Ovis aries: one gene and its partners. The protein of the gene in region 1 interacts with the protein of each later gene in a pairwise test. Links are inferred from orthologs where the notes say so. Each region holds a gene or a part of one and is shown in the gene's direction. Other genes may lie near its edges.

The links. The genes of interacting proteins can lie anywhere in the genome.
Region 2: the proteins of COIL (region 1) and POLR2L interact in binary tests that used the Homo sapiens proteins (3 or more experiments, as listed by UniProt). The two-hybrid records come from large-scale screens. The link is inferred for Ovis aries from reciprocal best matches to the Homo sapiens genes COIL and POLR2L.
Region 3: the proteins of COIL (region 1) and transcription initiation factor TFIID subunit 9-like interact in a two-hybrid assay, tested with the Homo sapiens proteins (2 studies listed by BioGRID and IntAct). The link is inferred for Ovis aries from reciprocal best matches to the Homo sapiens genes COIL and TAF9.

What each region holds. Positions count from the first base shown.
Region 1 is NC_056064.1:7,467,312-7,473,706, reverse strand, and holds part of COIL (coilin), read left to right. Parts: intron 1-1,206; coding exon 1,207-1,276; intron 1,277-4,238; coding exon 4,239-4,537; 3' UTR 4,538-5,585; coding exon of another isoform or gene 5,586-5,651; 3' UTR 5,652-6,395. UniProt on the Homo sapiens protein: Component of nuclear coiled bodies, also known as Cajal bodies or CBs, which are involved in the modification and assembly of nucleoplasmic snRNPs.
Region 2 is NC_056074.1:46,913,151-46,920,664, forward strand, and holds POLR2L (DNA-directed RNA polymerases I, II, and III subunit RPABC5), read left to right. Parts: upstream 1-3,167; 5' UTR 3,168-3,201; coding exon 3,202-3,296; intron 3,297-4,679; coding exon 4,680-4,788; 3' UTR 4,789-4,937; downstream 4,938-7,514. Other genes in the region: CD151 antigen, read right to left, coding at 6,641-6,700. UniProt on the Homo sapiens protein: DNA-dependent RNA polymerase catalyzes the transcription of DNA into RNA using the four ribonucleoside triphosphates as substrates.
Region 3 is NC_056065.1:58,197,115-58,203,769, forward strand, and holds transcription initiation factor TFIID subunit 9-like, read left to right. Parts: upstream 1-3,023; 5' UTR 3,024-3,161; coding exon 3,162-3,947; 3' UTR 3,948-4,078; downstream 4,079-6,655. UniProt on the Homo sapiens protein: The TFIID basal transcription factor complex plays a major role in the initiation of RNA polymerase II (Pol II)-dependent transcription.

The sequences.
Region 1 (6,395 bases):
ATAGATAAGGCACAACAATGAATTAATCTGAGTTGATACCTTGGAAGTCTTTTAAAATCTTGGTAAGAATCTTTGTTCAAAAGCAGGCTAGAAGAAGAATCAGTTCATGAAGAAATTTGGTTGGTTAGTTCTGGGTGTTTGGTGTATTTCCATCTTTTCATCTTAGTCCCTTAATATAGGTGACCACATAACTTACCATCTACATCAGAACACTTGCAAATGAAAAGGATTACTACTGTATTGATAATTTATACTGAAGGGAAGCATAAATGGACCTGTCTTTGGCAGACCAGGATGTTTTTTCACCCTACTACAGATGATTAATTTAATTCTGCAGTATGTGAGGAAATGGAAATAAACATAGAATTTATATGTCCCACAAGCTGTATCAATCATTGATTATAGATGATGTAGATTTTTAAAAAATATTACTTTATAATACTGTATTGGTTTTGCCATACATCAACATGATACAGATTTTTTAAATGCATATTAAATAGATGTTGGTCATTAGAGTTATTATTTTGGAAAGCTGTTTGCTACTTTGTTTCCAGTATTTTTAGGACTTTTCTGAAGTTACTTTCCAAACCATTTCAAGAGTGAACATCAGTGTTACTGTTTTGCTTTGATGTCAAATGCTGTTATCCACCTAGATCATTAGCTTTATTCATTAAGCTTGTCTTTAAAAGTCAAAGCTATCTTCAAAGAATGTAGTCTCCCCAACCCCCGACCCTGTCTAATATCTATCCATGGGACTTTAATTTATGGAGGTGACGAGCGATAACACAGCAGAGTCAGTGCTACTGAAGAGAGGAATTTATTAGTTACATTTCCCAAGAGAAAGGAGATGCCACGCCAGGCAGGCCTCCAGGCGCCAGCGTCTGGCTGTGGCCGGGAGGCAGGGCAGGGGTGAGCAGCTTCCGTCCGGGCCTCCTCGGGGTTGCAGGGCCGGCTGGTTTGGGTGACTAGAGGCTGTGGGCTCTGGGGCTGTTCCTAGCCGTGTGGAGCCTGCACCAGCGATAATTTAGACCAGAGAAATGGGGCTTGCTGTGGGAGTCATGTTTCAGATACATGTCGACTCATTTAAAAAAATTTTGTTGAAATGAAATTCACAGAAAACTCACCATCTTAACTATTTCTAAGTGGTTTTAGTACATTCATCCTATTTCACATGGTGATTTTTGACTTGGACTTTTATTTTGAAAGGAAGGAAGAATATTAAGCCATAACCCGGAGACCCAGCAAGTAGACATAGAAATTCTTTCATCCTTACCTGGTGAGTCTTCTAGAAAGATATTCGAAAGCGTAGGCTCTTCACGTCCGCACGGGCTTGTGAACAGCTTCTAGCGCAGGCGCCGCCGGCCTCCTTGGCCGCCGTGGCTACGGGGCCCTCTGCTGCCTCTGTCCGCGCGCAGGGCCTGGGGTGGGCCGCGCTGCGCTTCCGCTAGTGCGGTTGCGTGTCTGCTGAGAGCTGTTGGCGTTGTTCCCCAAACTGTTAGGCACGTTGTTCTTATTACTGTAACCATGTAATTTCATAAAATTACATCAATTAATGAAAATTGATGGCAAAAAAAGTTACGTCTATGAGACCTAAATTGAATGATAACTCAGGATCGTTGCTGAAAATTTTGCTTTTGAATTATATGTGATGGGTTAGCTATAAGAGTTTGGGAGGAATTTGATAAAAATGTGAGAAGATTCTGCACTTAAACTGTGTTGCTAGTTTTATATTCTTGCATCCACTTGAAAGACAAAAATCAAAAAACCTCGGGACTTTTCCTGGTGGTCCAGTGGTTAAGACTCCATGCTCCCAGTGCAGAGGGTGTGGGTTTGATCCCTGGTGGGAAAACTAAGATCCTCCATGCTGCGTGGTATAACCAGAAAATAAAACCAAACAAAACCCCTCAAAACTCAAAACCTGGAAATTGCATATATGCATCAGGGATAAAGTTTATAAAAGAAAGACAGCTCCAGTCAGTGACTCATAAGACCTACTAGCTCTGTTTGAAAAGGCTGGCAAATGAACATACTTCTCTGTGTTAAATGAAAATGAAGAGTCTGAAACAGATAAGTGTAGCCACACTCTCATGCATTATTTTAAATGGTTCCCTGCTTTATGCCTGAATCACCCCACCCATTTTTGGTTCTGAAACCCTGGAATAACAGGGCTTTTATTGTGTATGGCTTAACTTGGGTGGTGTTTGCAGGGGTCCCTGCCCAGAGATTAGAGGCGATCCCTTTTTCTTTAGCAGACTAAGGAATTAATTTTCTGTTCATGTTTAAATAAGATAGTAAAAGAGTTAAGACTGTAGTATGCAGGAATCATGCAAAAAGATTTTTCAGGGGATTCCCTGGTGGTCCAGTGGTTAGGATCTGACGCTTTCTCTGCTGGGGCTCAGGTTCAATCCCTGGTTGGGGAACTAAGATCCTGCAAGGTGTGAGGGCACCCAGAAAAAACATAAACAAAAAACCTTACACTGGTTTTCCAGCTCTCTTCTAATTAGATTTCATTTGAAGAAATCCTCCTTAGGAATGTCGGACAGAGGTTTGTCTGTGGTCAAATTCTGTGGACACAGCCTGGTCACTTCTTGTCAGGTGATTGACAGTGATGATATCCAATTAGAACTTTTCTTTTTGGGAGCATCAAGAAGCACCTGATCTGTCTTGTAGCAGAAATACAGGTAGTCCTCACTTTGCACAGTTCTAATATACATGAATTCAAGTTACCATGGTTTTGTTCAATAGAACCAGTCTCCAGTGTCCTTGGTATATTAACTCTCCTTTTTAAAAGTATTTGTTTCTTTCTTTGACTGCACTAGGTCTGAGTTGTAGATCTCCCGTTGTAGCGTGTGGGTTCTAGTTCCCTGACCAGGGCTCACACCTGGGCCCCCTGCATTGCGAGCGTGGAGTCTTAGCCACTGGACCACCAGGGAGGCCCCTGTTAGCTGTGAGTGAGTGTGTGAAGTACTGCCAGCCCTCCAGCCCACACAGACCACTGCACAGTAGCAGGTGCCCATTATGGCCAGGGACTAGTCACCCTGCTTCTTTCAGAGTGTTTTGGCGCTGGCCGCGGTGCATCTGTTACTCAGTTCCCACACCGTAGCACAGGGTGTGGTTGTGGTGCCTCCTTGTCTCAGTCATAAACCCACGTGTCGCTTTACGAAAGTGGATAATTGAATAGGGACTTGGCCAACAGCAGTGAAGGAGTGACAAAGAAACAGAAAGGGATAGCCCTAAAAGTCACATCCACACTGAATTTAAGTGAGCTCGCAGAAGAAGGAGCTCACTGTGGAAATGCTGACTTTGCGCTTCCTGTGCACTTCTTGACATCAGCGAGGAGAGCGGTCATGATGAAAGGAATAAGGATGTCCTAGGAATTACATCAGCAAAAAACTGAGCAAAACTGAGAGAAAGAAACTCTCAGATCTATTTCATAACGTTAAAACCTCAAAGGATATCTTGCTGAAAGTGGACTCAAACGGAAAGGAGTGTGGCGGCTGTGCCAGGCGTGGGCAAGGTCCTCGCTCTGCACTGTGGCTGGATGGCAAGGGGGCGAGCGCTGTCCAAACCACCTGGGTGTGTGTGGACACAGAACAGTCACGGTTCTGTCACTGATTCTCATTGCTTCTGTTTCAAGTTGGGTCAGTGTCCTACATAAATGGCAGTTGTACTGTGTTTTCATTTCCCTATACAGTAAAGGTTTGAATGTTTTGACAAAACATTTTAACCGTGAGACAGTCATCAGTTTCCCCATTGATTAAGATTGTTCTGCATGATTTCAGCTTGTGTGGTCATTTCTAGAGCCCCACCCTACCATGTAAAATGAGGGCTGCTGTGTTACCAGGGAAGCATGTACAATGTCTGCGGACGCAGCAAGATATAAGAATTTTGCAGAATTCACGTTGCCTTCTCTTATTGAAACAAACCGGTTCTGGGGGTGTTGGGGATTATCTTGTGGTTACACACTCTCTTCTGGGATTGCTAGTGCATCAGCTCACTTCTTTTCTGGGAAGGGCGGATTGTCACTGGGGAGTGCCTGAGAAGCCCCTGTCTGTCGGCACAGGCTTCAGAGCATCTCCTGTCACTGAGCACTCTATGCTTTCCTGTGTGCACCAGCCTCCACATCAACGGGCAGTTTGTTTGTGGTGGTTTTTCTAATGATACGAATTCCCTGTAGAGGAACTTTTTCACTACTGGGAAATGACTTATTGTCTCTCCTTCCTACCGTCTGGTTTCAGCCATGAAAGAACCTGGGAAATTTGATTTGGTTTATCACAACGAAAATGGAGCTGAGGTAGTGGAGTACGCTGTGACGCAGGAAAAGAGGGTAGGCGTGCTTCTCTTCTGGGATTGCGTGGTCGTCCATTCGCTTGACTGGCTGCTGGTGGTCTGGAGGGTGACACGCTGCGGCTTCCTGCACTGCTTGCATAAAATCAGAGAGGATCCCGGCCTTGCGGGGCGGCGGGGGGGGGGGGATCTCCAGAAGTCTCCACTGTGTCTCCTTACAGTCACTACTACCTCCCAAGAGTTACCGTGATTCTGACGTAGAACAGTGCAGATACTTTTGAAGAATGACACAGTGATGAATCTGTCTTCTGATTTTAAGTCCTTAAATTGCCATTTTAGGAAGTATATGGTTTAGAGCTTTGTTGGCAGCCAGACTTCCAGAGATGCTGGAATGGCTGCCTCGTTAGAGTATGGTAGCATTGAAGTGAATAGAATTTATATTTAAGAAACCGCTTCTTAAGGTGTTTATATTTGAAATGTTATGATATTATTCTGAAGTTTTACTATTGCACAGTCACGTTTTATCTGGAATGTAAACTTGTGGAAACCCTAACCAGACTGTATGTTTTGCTTTGTCTTCAGGATAGATGACACTCAGGGATTTACTCCAAAAGCACATTTTTAGGATCTGTGGTAGGCTCTGCAGATTTGGCCCCGTATCCTGTACTTCTTTATTTGCAATATATGCAGTCCCACTTTTTTGTTGAAATGTATTCTTGGAAACTACACTGGAAAATTAAATGTTGGAGGCTTTCCTCTTGGAGGGAGGCCTTATTAAACTGAGGCCTGAAGTAGGGCCTGTAATTACGTTTTTGGACACTAGATGGCTCTCATTATTCATCCACATGGCCTTCGTTAGCTTTGCTTTCTCTTGGTAAAATGAAATAGCTCCTCTGTTTTTAGGCAGCACAGGAAAAGAACCATAGAGCTGCATGAAAGGGCATGGGCAATCTAGTGATAACCCTCTGGGCCGTATCTGCCTCCCAAGAAGTCTGCAGACTGCTTGTCCATAGAGACTGGTTGGGCAAATCCTTCTGACCCCTTGGTAACCAGCTGGTACCACCCAGCCCCAGCCCATGCTCTAAATCAAAGGAAGATGAAATATATTTAATATAAAATTTAGCTGTGTTCTAGGTAAACAAGGCCTTCTACCCTAGTTGAACTGAATTTACTGGGACTCAAATTACCTCCAGTCCTCAAGCATTCTTCACAAATGGAAATTGAAGTTTTTAACTGACTAAAATTCATATGACCTCAAAATGACGTCTCTAAACTGAATATTTTCTGTTTTTCCTCAGATAACCGTTTTTTGGAGAGAGTTGATTGATCCAAGATTGATTATCGAATCTCCGAGTAACACATAAAGTGTGGAGCTTCCCCGAGTTTGACCTCTCCACCTCGTGGTTTATAAATGTCTTATTTGTGAAAGTGACTATAACCTGAACGGTTTTTTTTTTAAAGAAGATTTGTGAGCTGTATGCATTTTCGGTTATCTTCCATTTGCTGCATAGGAAAAAGTCTACCTCACCATTTAAAAGCACATGGGTGTTGCTTTTGTAGATCTTTTTTTCTCCCCAGGCTTAATCTTAGTAACAGAATTTACAACATGACATTCCTTCAGGCATCGTTTATAAAACAATACGTACGGTTTCTTCTCTTTTTTATTTTTTTCAACCATCAAGTAGCTTATCGTCAGTAGGAGTTTGTAATACCAAATACAGAAAGTGCTGTATATCTTGTCTCAGTAAGTTTTATTAAGTAACGTTTTAAAACATGAAAGCATGTTACTTGACTTAATTTTTTTAAATTTAAGTTGTTCCATTCAACGTGGAGCATCTTATACATCTCAAGTGTTTATACTTGTGATCGTCAGCAGTTAATCAGTAGCTGGGTTTGTTACAGGCAATGAGTTACGGAATCCTTTCACACTTTTCTCAACTTTAAGGATTCTCAGGGCCTGTGGAGAGCAGTGAAAATAAGTCTGTGTGCTTGGGAAAGAACTAGGGCTCTACTTGAGGGGGAGGATTCACTGTGAGCTCAGGCCAGGGTGACCCGCCCAGCCACTCGATCCCGGGCGCCTGGCTAAGTGTGCTGTGCTGGAGTGAGGG
Region 2 (7,514 bases), on another chromosome or scaffold:
AGACCGAGGCCGAGCTCAGAGAAGGACCTCCCCAAACACTGACAGTGCTGGCCCGGCGGCCTCGGAGGCCTGCGGCAGACGGGCCCCAGCAGAGCCAGTGAGCGGGGCCCCAGCAGAGCCAGTGAGCGTGCCCGCACCTCAGGGTGCAGAGCCGGCCGCCCAGCCCGGGCCCCCAGGTTGCCAGCTCTGAGGCGACTGCGAGGAGCCAGGAGGCCCCGCCAACACAAACAGGCCTGCGGAGCCGGCCTTCCTGCTGCTGCTTCAGCCCCCGACCCCGGGGGAGGGGCGCACAAGCACCCGGGCCCACAGGCCCTCCTCCCGCTGGCCTGGAAGACACTGCCTCCAGGAGAGGTGCCCCCGGGAAGAGGCCACCCAGAGGCCTCCAGCGCTTCCCCAGGCCCAGTGAGGACAACCCCGAGGACAGGGGCTCCCCTCAGGACCCTCCCGCCACCCTGGGGCCTGGCAGCTCCCTTCCCCACCTGGGCACTGACACTCCAGCCTGCCCCCTACACACCAGTGCCCTCTGGGAGCCCCACGCACGGCCGAGCGGGCCATCCTCAAGGACCATGCCCATCCACAGGGTCACGAGGTTGCACAGCTGGCCGGCAAACACCGCCAGGGACCCCAGGGCCCAGAGGGTCACCGAGGGTGCAGCAGGTGGGCGACTCCGTCAAACCCTGACGAGGCATCCACGCCCCCTGCTCACCACACCGCCCCCCACGTGTGAGCACAGCTTACCCAGAGCGGCCAGAGCTTGGGCGCTCGGGGCTGCGCTGGGATCCTGCCCCTCCACCTGCGTGGCCTCCGCCCCCCCCCCCACCCACAGAAGGGGAGGCAGACGCTGTGGTCCAAGACGGGGCGCAGGGTCAGCTGCCTCCTGGGCAGCTCCGTCTCTCAGGAGGCGTTTCCAGGACAACACCCGGGGCACAGGGTCTCAGCGGCTGAAGCTTTGATCGTGGATTTCCCCTTGTCCCCCGCCTGCCCTGAAGTGACCCTCCTCTGGCAGGAAGTAGGGCGCACGGGTTCCAGACCACGTGAGCACCACCCTCCCGCCCTGTGCCCCCGCCCCTGGGGGCAGGAACCCCCTCCTCGGAAACCCAGCGCCTCACTCTCCCTGCCCATCTCCAGGCCAAGCCCGAGGTCTGGGCCACATCTGCGCTCATCCCCAGGGCCCCCACCACGGGCCTGTGCCACCCCGGCGCCCCCATGAGTGCACCAGGCCCCTGGGATGCTCTCTGCCCCTGCCCACCCTGAGGACAGCTGGACTATGCCCAGCCTGCCCCCTCAGCACCCACAGGGAGGGAGAAGGCCCAGCGGGGGAGAAGGCTGACGTGAGGCCCCCCAGGGTCCTCAGGTCCAGCCTGGCCAGGCCTGAGCCAGGGTGGGGTGGGCACGGAGGCCAAGTGCCCAAGGGGCCTCTGAGCACACGTGTGCTGGTGGCCTGTGCCACCACGCTGCTCAGCAATCCCCTCCTGGGAAACCAGGGAGCTGCAGGGAGGAGTCCCCCCCGCCTCAATCCACACGCAGTTCTCGGAATTCCAGGAATGTCCACTTGGCTCTCCCGCCGCCCCCCAGTCTCTGGGAGTAAACAGCCACTGCGCCAGAACGAGGTGCGGTGGACCACGGGGCCCTCCCCCAGGAAGCCTGCACGCACCCACCCCCGCTCTAGAAGAGCCTCCCGCCTATCCCCCTCACCTCTGCAGACGCAGCTGCCTCTACAGCTGAGCCTGGGTCCACCCCAGGCCACTGTGACTCAAGGCCCCATCCCAGCCGGGGACAGGATGTGCGTCCAGTCAGCTTGGGAAGGGGGGGCAGGCAGGGCAGGGAAGTGGCTTCTGCTCGTGGCTCCGCACGTGGCAGGGTGGGGGACGGCGAACCCCGCTGGGGAGGGTGGCCAGAGCCAAACTCCAGACGCAGAAGTGCTGGCCAGCCTCCCTGGGACCTCCACTCCCAGCCCCTTGACTTACAGTCAGAGTCCACCACCCACCCCAGGTGGACTCTGAGCTAAAGCCTGGGACCCAACATGGTGGGCCCACCCCCACCCCCCACCCCAACCAGAGACCCTGACGCCCCAGGCCAGCAAATATGAGGAGACCCTGCCTAGGTGCCTAGCCCACCCTCCTCAGCCCAAAGCTCGCCTCCTCCAGGGAGCCTTCCTTGCTTCTCAGTGCACACAGCCCTCTCCCAGCCGCCAGTCACAGGATCAGGGGGCTCACCTCTCGCCACTTCCCGAGACACAGCCCCCGCCCCCGCCCCCCCCCCGCTCCCTTTAAACCCCCACCGCCTCCAGCTCCCACAGCTTCTGTCCCGCACGGACGGGTGTCTGTCCGGCTCCCTCTTTAAGTCTCAGCTCAAAAGACACCCCGAGTGCCCTCCCGACCCTCAGAGCCGGCGCTCCCGGGTCACTGGCGCCCGCCCCTGCCGAGCGCGGACTGGAGCCTGGGCCGCCAGCGCCTCCCCCGGGAAGAAGGCAGGAGGGGGGGCCAAGCTGACCGCGGCGACGGCCGGAGCCCCCACCGGCTGGGTCGCCCCGCGCCGCCCGCCTGCAGGGATACGGGCAGCTACCGGGCCGGGACCGTTACTGTGCAGGCGACCCGGCCAGGCGGCGACCTCGAGGGTCCCTCGGACTCTGCGCAGAGACCCCCGAGTGCCCGCGGGCAGCGGCCCCAGGCGGAGAGGCCGCCCCCTGCCCGGCCCCTCCGGCCGCTCTCCGCGCCCCAGACCCGGCTCGCAACTTGTTGCTGAAACGCGGCTCGCGCTCTGCGCTCGGGGCCCCAGTTCGCGCGGGCCCGGCCGCACTCCGCCCGCGGCCCGGCAGGGGCGCTGTACCTGCCTCGCGCCCGCCGCGCGGAGTCGGTCGGCCGGGCACGAGGAACGCGAACGCCGCCGCCGAGCCCTTGCGGCCCCGCGCGGACGCCGTAGGCCGGGACGTACCAAGGCGCGGGCGGGGGGCTCCCGCCGGGCCCCGCCCCCGGCCCCGGCCCCCGGGCCCCGGCCCCCGGGCCCGCGCCCGCCGGAGGAGCCGCCGTCGCGGCGGGAGGCGGATGCCGGCGGCGCCGGGGCCGCGGGGAGGTGCACGGGGCGGGCCGGGCCGGCACCCCCGCGCCATGGGCGCGCCATGGGCACGCCGGGGCGGAAGCGCCGGGGGATCCGGGCGTCGGGCCGCCGGGCCGCGAAGCTTCTAGCTCCCGCGCCGCCGCCATGATCATCCCCGTTCGCTGCTTCACGTGTGGCAAGATCGTCGGCAACAAGTGGGAGGCCTACCTGGGCCTGCTGCAGGCCGAGTACACCGAGGGGTGAGGGGCGCGCTCCCGGCCGCCGGCCTGCGGGGCCCGGGGCGGGGAGGGTTTCCCAGCCTGCGCGGCCCGGGGCGAGGACAGGGGCGCCCGGCCTAAGGGGAGGGTTTCCCAGCCTGCGGGGCCCGGGGCGGCGGGACGGGGGCCCGGCCTGCGGGGCCCGGGGCGAGGACAGGGGCGCCCGGCCTAAGGGGAGGGTTTCCCAGCCTGCGGGGCTCGGAGCGAGGACACGGGGGCCCCGGCCTGCGGGGCCCGGGGCAGGGTCAAGGGGGCCTAGCCTGCGGCGTCGGCGTCTCGGGCGGCTGTCGAGGATCCAGGCTTGAGGGGTTGGGGTCTTGAGGCGGCAGTCAGGGGTCTTGGTCTCCAGGTCAGGAGCAAGGGACGTTCATCAGATCCCAGGTGACGCCGGCAAGGCTTTTATTCCCGGAGCCTTTGCCAGCCCTGTTCTCCAGACCTGCTCTCAGGAAAGCGTCTCCCACCCCCCAGTTCAGGCAGACGAGGGGAGCTAGTTGTCAAGCGCTGGTGTCTGGGGACTCGAGTATTCTGGCTCCACGCCTCCACCGCAGATAGGCCCCTGGCCACCTCTGTCCGTCAGCTCCCTAAGTTCTCCCTGCTATTAGGCCCACCCCGTGTCCTCAAAGACACTGATGCTGGGCAAGATGGAAGGCGAAAGGAGAAAGGAGCGGCAGAGGAGGACGCGGTTAGGTAGCATCAGCAGCTCAATGGACAGGAGTTCAAGCAAACTCTGGGAGATAGAGGAGAACATGAGCTCAGCGAGCTGCAGTCCATGGCGTCACGGACACGACCGAGCGGCTGAACAACAAACCGTGTCTTGCAGACTCACGGGCTTTTTTAGTACATAGGACAAGCTTCTGATCACATAGCCGTCATCATCAGGCTTTTGTGGGGTCCCTTTTCCGTGTTTGCCCCTTGGCACTGCAGTTACCGCCTTACTTGTCTGAGTTTACCCTAGACAAGAGTCTGACTTTGGTCCTTGTGTGGACAGCCCCATCCTTATCAAAGTGTGAACCTCTGGGACCTGGAGTGTGGTAGCAGGTGAGGTTCTCCGTGTAGCTGTGTTGGGTGGATAGGGAAGCAACGGACGGCCGTAGTATCTGCACCAGGCTTCGAGGAGGCTGCTGGAATGACCACAGTGCGAGTGAATGCTGGCAGCCTGCCCCAGACTCCTCCCCGAGATGCCCCAGGCCAGGGCTGCCCAAGCGGCCGCCCCTTTTATGGGTGCCACGCTGGTGCCCACACACAGGAGGCTTTGAGGGTGACTGGGGCCGTGTCTCTGGGAGGTGAGGGGGGCTGCTCCCCCCGGGCGAGGCCCTCTGTCTGCCGGGAGGAGCAGGCTGCAGCCAGATCTCTCCCCACCTGCAGGGACGCCCTGGACGCGCTGGGCCTGAAGCGCTACTGCTGCCGCCGCATGCTGCTTGCCCACGTGGACCTGATCGAGAAGCTGCTCAACTACGCTCCCCTGGAGAAGTGAGCCCGCGATGCCGCAGGGGGCGTCTCACCCATGGCTTGTTCCCCTGGGGTGTGGGGCGCCGGAAGCCACGCCCGCCCACGGCTCTGTTGGCGTGGGTCTTCCTCCCTGGAAAGAACTGTCTAGTAAATGTTTCTGAGGACTGCCAGGAAGTCCTAACAGTTGGTCTGGGTTTGTGGGCTGCCCCGCCGGTTCCTGGGGTTCTACCTGGTGCCCGAGGCCCGCACGGCCCAGGAGGAGGGTGGGCCTTCCATACGGGAGTGCTCAGCACGGGGCTCCCTTCCTCTGTGGGCGCTTGGCCCCACAGAAGACACAGATGTCACGAGTGCTTGGGGTGGGGGCACCGGCGTCCCACAGCGCTGTTCTGGGTGCCCTTCAGCCGAGAACAGAGGTCCCCACTTCCTCCCCCGGTATCTAATGCTCCAGACTTTCTGCGCTCTGAGTGGAGTGCTCCCTGTGGTCACAGCTGCGCATCCTGAGGTTGCTGCCGCCAGAAGCTTCCAGGCTCCACCCACAGCAGGCAGGCAGCTCCACTCCACCCCTGAGACCCCACAGCAGGTGGGAGGTGCCCTGAGGCAGCTCTCCTGGGCATCTGTTCTGAATGGGCTCTCAGTGCCCAGGCGTTAAATGCGTTGCCCTGAAAACCAACTAGAGAGCTGTCTGGCGGGGGCGGGGGTGGGGGGCAGCTCATCGCGGTCCAGCTTAGGCTGAGGCTTCAAACCAGAAGCTGTTGCTTTGGCGGGGCTCAGGCAGGCCCTGGTGCCTCCAGCAGCTTAGAGGGCAGGAGGGAGGCGGCCTTCCTGAGGCCACCTGCCCAGGCGTCTGATGGGTGGTCTCTGCAGAGACCAGGCCCAGCACCCTTCTCTGGCCCCACCCTGCCCTGTCGGCAGACGTCCTGCCAGACCCCACCTGACTCGCTCCCAAGACCCCCCTCCCATGCCTGGTCCCTGTGCAGTGGCCAGACAGGCCTTTGGAAACCGCAGCGGTCCAGTCACCCGCTCCCTGGGGTCTCAGCCGCATCACCAGCCCTGCATCCAGGGAACAGCTGAGCTTCTGCGAGGCCTGTCTGCAGCTGGCCCAGCCTCCGTCCCCTGGAGCCCCGTCGGCTCTCAGCTCACACCGCCCCATGTCTGCTTCTGTTGCGGCCCTGGGGGTGGGTCTGTTCACTCTGCGGACAGGACAGCCCTTGGAGACCAGAGTGCCTTTGTCAGTGACGTCAGCTCAGCCGTCCGTCCCACAGACGTTTATTGAGCACCTATCAAGTAGCAGGAGCAGTCCCAGGCGTGGAGCACAGCAGCGACTATAACCCTCAGGGTCCTGCCTCTGGGGGAGCGGTGACCTAGTCAGTACAGGCTGCAGACGGTCAGCAGGGGGGCAGCCGAGGCCCGGCCCAGACAGCTCTTCCCTGGTTGAGGAGGAGGCCCGGTACCCGGGGGGTCTGGGGGAGGCACCTGGGGCCGCCTCACCTGCTGCTGCCTGGCCCCCCTGCACCAGCCCATTTCTACCCAACTGGCATAGGCCTCAGGGAGCACCCCAAGGCCCCGATCTCAGCCCAGAGACAGTGGTGGGAGGGGGGCCTTTGTTGCTAACCCCCAGCCCAGCAGATAGGTGGGGCTGACCTTAGGCCTTGGGACTTTGGTGTGTAGCTAAAGGCACTTGAAGCTGCCTCTGGGGCTTGAGGGTCCCCAGAGGGCACGGTGATGGCACGGTGGGGGGGCCAGGCAGCAGGACAGTCTCCCCGGTAGGCGAGGGGCAGGGGCGCCGCCTGGACCGCAGCACTGGGGCTCTCGGGAGTGTCAGTAGTCAGCGCATCGCGAAGCTGCAGCACACGGAGGGCCGGCGCCCGCGGACACAGTCAGTAGTGCTCCAGCTTCAGGCTCTTGTACAGGCAGCAGGTGAAGAGCATCCCGAAGACCTGAGCACAGGGCCAGCGTGAGCACGCCGGCCCCGGCCCCCAGCACACTGCACACCCCCACACACGCCACCCCTGCACACGGGCGATGCCCAGCCCCACACACACACCCGCACGGGCGATGCCCAGCCCCCTCCAACATCACACCACCCCTGCACACGGGCGATGCCCAGCCCCCTCCAACATCACACCACCCCTGCACACGGGCGATGCCCAGCCCCCTCCAACATCACACCACCCCTGCACACGGGCGATGCCCAGCCCCCTCCAACATCACACCACCCCTGCACACGGGCGATGCCCAACCCCCAGGCACACACCTACACACCTGCACACGGGCGCTGCCCAGCCCTCCAACATCACACCATCCCTGCACACAGGCCTTCACACGCCACCCCTGCACACGGCGATGCCCAGCCCCCACACACCCGCACGGCGATGCCCAGCCCCTCCAACATCACACCACCCCTGCACACGGGCGATGCCCAGCCCCTCCAACATCACACCACCCCTGCACACGGGCGATGCCCAGCCCCTCCAACATCACACCACTCCTGCACACGGGCGTGCCCAGCCCCTCCAACATCACACCACCCCTGCACACGGGCGCTGCCCAGCCCCCTCCAACATCACACCATCCCTGCACACAGGCGATGCCCAGCCCCCCACACACACCCGCACGGGCGATGCCCAACCCCCAGGCACACACCTGCACACACCCGCACACACCTGCACACGGGCGATGCCCAGCCCCCAGGCACACACCCACACACGGGCGATGCCAACGCCCCCACACCACACCTGCACACAGGCAGTG
Region 3 (6,655 bases), on another chromosome or scaffold:
GAAAAGGAGAGAGGCGAAAAGCAAAGGAGAAAAGGAAAGATATAAGCATATGAATGCAGAGTTCCAAAGAATAGCAAGAAGAGATAAGAAAGCCTTCTTCAGTGATCAATGCAAAGAAATAGAGGAAAACAACATAATGGGAAAGACTAGAGATCTCTTCAAGAAAACTAGAGATACCAAGGGAACATTTCATGCAAAGATGGGCTCGATAAAGGACAGAAATGGTCTGGACCTAACAGAAGCAGAAGATATTAAGAAGAGGTGGCAAGAATACACTGAAGAACTGCACAAAAAAGATCTTCACGACCCAGATAATCACGATGGTGTGATCACTCATCTAGAGCCAGACATCCTGGAATGTGAAGTCAAGTGGGCCTTAGAAAGCATCACTATGAACAAAGCTAGTGGAGGTGATCGAATTCCAGTTGAGCTAGTTCAAATCCTGAAAGACGATGCTGGGAAAGTGCTACACTCAATATGCCAGCAAATTTGGAAAACTCAGCAGTGGCCACAGGACTGGAAAAGGTCAGTTTTCATTCCAATTGCAAAGGAAAGGCAATGCCAAAGAATGCTCAAACTACCACAAGATTGCACTCATCTCACACGCTAGTAAAGAAATGCTCAAAATTCTCCAAGCCAGGCTTCAGCAATACGTGAACTGTGGACTTCCTGATGTTCAAGCTGGTTTTAGAAAAGGCAGAGGAACCAGAGATCAAATTGCCAACATCCGCTGGATCATGGAAAAAGCAACAGACTTCCAGAAAAACATCTATTTCTGCTTTATTGACTATGCCAAAACCTTTCACTGTGTGGATCACAATAAAGTGTTGAAAATTCTGAAAGAGATGGGAATACCAGACCACCTGAGCTGCCTTTTGAGAAATCTGCATGCAGGTCAGGAAGCAACAGTTAGAACTGGACATGGAACAACAGACTGGTTCCAAATAGGAAAAGGAGTATATCAAGGCTGTGTATTGTCACCCTGCTTATTTAACTTATTTGCAGAGTACATCATGAGAAACACTGGACTGGAAGAAACACAAGCTGGAATCAAGAATGCCAGGAGAAATATCAATGACACCACCCTTATGGCAGAAAGTGAAGAGGAGCTAAAAGCCTCTTGATGAAAGAGAAAGAGGAGAGTGAAAAAGTTGGCTTAAAGCTCAACATTCAGAAAATGAAGATCATGGCATCTGGTCCCATCACTTCATGGGAAATAGATGGGAAACAGTGGAAACAGTGTCAGACTTTATTTTGGGGGGCTTCAAAATTACTGCAGATGGTGACTGCAGCCATGAAATTAAAAGACACTTACTCCTTGGAAGAAAAGTTATGACCAACCTAGATAGCATATTCAAAAGCAGATATATTACTTTGCCGACTAAGGTCCATCAAGGCTATGGTTTTTCCAGTAGTCATGTATGGATGTGAGAGTTGGACTGTGAAGAAGGCTGAGCGCTGAAGAATTGTTGCATTTGAACTGTGGTTTTGGAGAAGACTCTTGAGAGTCCCTTGGACTGCAAGGAGATCCAACCAGTCCATTCTGAAGGAGATCAGCCCTGGGATTTCTTTGGAAGGAATGATGCTAAAGCTTAAACTCCAGTCCTTTGGCCAGCTGATGCGAAGAGCTGATTCATTGGAAAAGACTTTGATTCTGGGAGGGATTGGGGGCAGGAGGAGAAGGGGACGACAGAGGATGAGATGGCTGGATGGCATCACTGACTCGATGGACATGAGTCTGAGTGAACTCCGGAATTTGGTGATGGACAGGGAGGCCTGGCATGCTGCGATTCTTGGGGTCTCAAAGGGTTGGACATGACTTAGCGACTGAATGAACTGAGCTGAACTGATGCTGAAGCTTCAATAATCTGCCTACCTGATGTGAAGAGCCAACTCTTTGGAGAAGACTCTAATGCTGAGAAAGATTGAAGGCCGGAGGAGAAAAAGGTGACAGAGGATGAAATGGTTGGATAGCATCACTTACTCAATGGAGATGAGTTGAACAAGCTCTGGGAGATAGTGAAGTACAGGGAACCCTGTTGTCCTGCAGTCTACGTGGTTGCAAAGAGTCAGACATGACTTAGCGACTGAATAACAATAACAACAATGTAGTATTTGGTTACTATTGACCTTCTGATGACACCTCAAAAGGAGGCATATCCACTTTATGTGATCCCAGATCACTGAGACATGATGATGTGGATGGCTGGATATCTAGAGCAGACAATGTCAATCACTAAGGATCCTCAGAGGGATGAAGCAGGACAGCAAAAGATTTCATCACATTCCTTGGAATGGCAAAGAATTTAAATGTGAATTGTTTGTTTCTGGAATTCTCGTTTGATATTTTCAGACTGTGGTTGACCACAGGTAAGTGAAACTCTGGAAATAAAAACTGTGGATAAGAGGAAACAACTGTATATAAAATATGATATATATTGCAGTATATTGCAGTTCCTTGGACTGCAAGGATATCTCACCTGTCAATCCTAAAGGAATATTCACTGGATAGACTGATGCTGATGCTGAAACTCCAATGCTTTGGCCACCTGATGCAAAGAGCCGACTCATTGGAAAAGATCCTGATGCTGAGAAAGATTGAAGGTGGGAGGAGAAGAGGATGACAGAGGATGAGATGGCTGGATGGCATCACTGACACAATGGACATGAGTTTGAGTAGGCTCCTGGAGTTGGTGATGGACAGGGAATCCTGGCATACTGAAGTCCATGGGGTCGCAAAAAGTCAGACACGACTGAATGACTGAACTGAGCTGATATTGCAGTAAAAACGGATGAATACAAGAATATTTTCTTTATCAAAGATAAAAAGCATGATCGATATGCTAGGAACTGTTTCCTAAGTTATTTCCTATATTAACATGTTTAACTGATATATAAAAATACAGTGAAATATTGAAGTATTATTACCTCCATTTTGCATAATGAATTATTATTAGCTCCATTATTACCTCCACTGGGTATAGAGAATGTGTATAAAAACCTAATTTAAAAAAAAAAAAGCGATGTTGCTTCCGAACATCCTGCTCACCGGTACACCAGGGGTTGAAAAAACTACATTAGGCAAAGAACTTGCATCAAGATCAGGACTGAAATACGTTAATGTGGGTGATTTAGCTCGAGAAGTTTGATCACCGGATATCATGGAGTCTGGCAAGATGGCTTCTCCCAAGAGCATGCCGAAAGATGCACAGATGATGGCACAAATCCTGAAGGATATGGGGATTACAGAATATGAACCAAGAGTTATAAATCAGATGTTGGAGTTTGCCTTCCGATATGTAACCACAATTCTAGATGATGCCAAAATTTATTCAAGTCATGCTAAGAAAGCTACTGTTGACGCAGATGATGTGCGGTTGGCAATCCAGTGTCGTGCTGACCAGTCTTTCACCTCTCCTCCACCAAGAGATTTTTTATTAGATATTGCAAGGCAAAGAAATCAAACCCCTTTGCCATTGATCAAGCCATACTCAGGTCCTAGATTGCCACCTGATAGGTATTGCTTGACTGCTCCAAATTATAGACTGAAGTCTTTACAAAAAAAGGCATCTACTTCTGCAGGAAGAATAACGGTTCCACGGTTAAGCGTTGGTTCAGTTACTAGCAGACCAAGTACTCCCACGCTTGGCACACCAACCCCACAAGCCATGTCTGTTTCAACTAAAGTAGGGACTCCAGTGTCCCTCACAGGGCAAAGGTTCACAGTACAGATGCCCACTTCACAGTCCCCAGCTGTAAAAGCATCAATTCCTGCAACATCAGCTGTTCAGAATGTTCTAATTAATCCGTCATTAATTGGGTCCAAAAATATTCTTATTACCACTAACATGGTCTCATCACAAAATACTGCCAATGAAACATCAAACACATTGAAAAGGAAACATGATGACGATGATGACGACGACGATGACTATGATAACTTGTAATCTAGCCTTGACGCATGTAACTTGTATACTTGGTTTTGAATCTGTTGTACTGAGATTAAACATGCATGCTGGATATTTCCATGTTGTGTTCTAGAAAGAATAGTATTTAATGAGTAAATATGCTTACCATACTTTTTGATTGAGCTGTTGTGTTAGATTTTCTTTGATAGGATTAGTAATGGTTTCTCGTCACCCTTTAAGTGTAAAAAATAAAGTTGCAATTCGTGCATTTAAAAAAAAAAAAAGCAAATCCAGAAGACTGCATATAGAAGACTGCATACAGAATGCTACCTTATTTTACTAAAACTAAAAATCAAACAATGCTCAAGATTATGTTATTTAGGAATATATATGCAAGAAAAAATTTTCCAAGAATGGGTGTATTATATGGTTAAAAATTAAGAGAGTAATTATCTCCAGGAGATTAGCAGACCTACAGATGGGTGATAGCTTTGAAAGTATTAGCAATGGTCTAGCTCTTATGACTTTCCCGGCGGCTCAGAGAGTAAAGCGTCTGCCTACAAAGTGGGAGACCTGGGTTCAATCCCTGGGTTGGGAAGACATCCTGGAGAAGGAAATGGCAACCAACTCCAGTATTCTTGCCTGGAAAATCCCATGGATGGAGGAACCTGGTAGGCTACAGTCTACAGGGTTGCAAAGAGTTGGACACGACTGAGTGACATTTACTAATATTACTTTAGCTCTTATGACAGGTGGTAGATTCATAGTTGATGATTACAAGATGATGCTTCATAACTTTTATAGGCATTATATATAGTTTTACTTATACCAAAATTATACTTTAAGAAGTTTAGCACCTGCATTTTGTGATATTTAGATTAACTGTTCAGGGGCTATTTTTCTTATTTCCTGGTTTCCAGCTACAGTGCTTAAGAGATAGGATTACTAGGTAGCTGACTTCTAGAGCAGCAAACAAAATTATAACTTTTTTTTCTTTTCAGTCTGGGTAGTCATTCTAAACATAAATCAGTTTCAAAATAATGCTTATAAAAGAATAAATGGTCCCACTAAATGCAAAAAACAATTTGACCACTGAGAAATATGTTAACAGCTTTCTCAAATCAATATGCCAACATTATTGTAATTTCTGAATAATGGTAATAAAAACAACACTTCCAGATAGAGCTCTAACATGTAAAAAGTTGTGAAGCTATCAAACCTGTCCTTAAGACAAGAAAACATTTTATAAACTAAAACCAGTGACTTTTGTTGAACAACAGAAAACTGAATTTGTAGGGTTAATTGTTGCTCCACAGTCTGGACATGCAGGCACATTCAGAGAGACAGAAGATCTGCTTACCTGGAGCAGAAGCTGATGAAGCAACAGATAAGAGCACTTAAATAGTAATTTTGATGAACTGTTGATAGTGTGGACTAGTATAAGAGGAAATTCTGGAGATCACAGTCTAAGGGGTTCAGTACTTGTTCCATGCAGCTCACCAAGTTCTCACTGTGAAGATTCGAGAATACCTTATGGCTCTGGCAGGGCTGGGGATAGAAGAGAAATCACTGCAAAATGCATTCAGAGCACTTTCCATCAGGAAGACCTAAACTCCAGGGGAAAAGACTTTACCAAATCCTTCCCCAGCTGGGAAAGAACATTTCTCCCACTGTGCCTTTCTCTATCCTTCCCATTACATTTTAAAAGTGAACAACATCTATATCATTGGAAAAATATTTGTAACAGTCACAGACTAGAACCACAAGCCTAAACCAAGATTTAGTCACAGAAATATAAAATTCTTTCTTTCCCCTACATCTGGCCACTATACCAGGGATCCAGAGTACAGTGAATTACAGATGAAAGATGTAGACTCTGTCTGCAGAAGAGTGAGATGGGAGTTCAAAAATAAAAGGAGAGATAATAACAAGAACACTGGAGGAATTTGAAGTCTCTGGTAACTACAGTACCAGCTAACATTGAACACAAACTTATAGCCAGATTAACATAAATTCTCACACTAATGACATCTAGACTTCACTACTAGTTACTTAATACATGTACATCTTTCAACAAAAAGCTGTAAGACATTAGAAAGAAAGAAAGAGGGAAAGGAGAAGGAAGAAAAGAAAAGGGAGGGAAGGGAGGGAAGGTGGGAAGATGGAAACTGTGAAGAGCCAAAGCAAGCATCAGAATCAGACTCAGTTATGACACAGATATCAGAATTACCAGATATGAAATTTAATGTTACTATGACTAATATGTTAAGGGCTCAAATGTAAAAATAAACTGTCAGAAGAACAGATGAGTAATGTAAGTAGAGTGATGGAAACACTAGGAAAGAATCTAAAGAAAAAAGTGAGAAGTCAGAAACATTGTAACATAAATAAATAATGCCTTCGACAGGTTTATTAGTAGACTGTACATGGCCAAAGAGAGAATCAGTAAGGTTGAAGCTGGGTCAATAAACTTCCCAAACTGAAATGCCAAAAAAAAAAAAAATTTAAAAAAAGAAAAAGGAATAACAGCAAAAAACTGTAATAGAACATCTAAGAAATGTGGGCCAACTTCAAAAGATGTAGCATATGTATAATGAGAATACAAGGTGAAGAAAGAGAGATAAGAATAGAAGAAACACTTGAAGAAATACTGAACTTTCCAAACATATCCAACATATTCAACCATCTCAGAAGATGCCAAACAAGTTGAATAACTACTACTACAACAAAACCTCTATACCTAATCA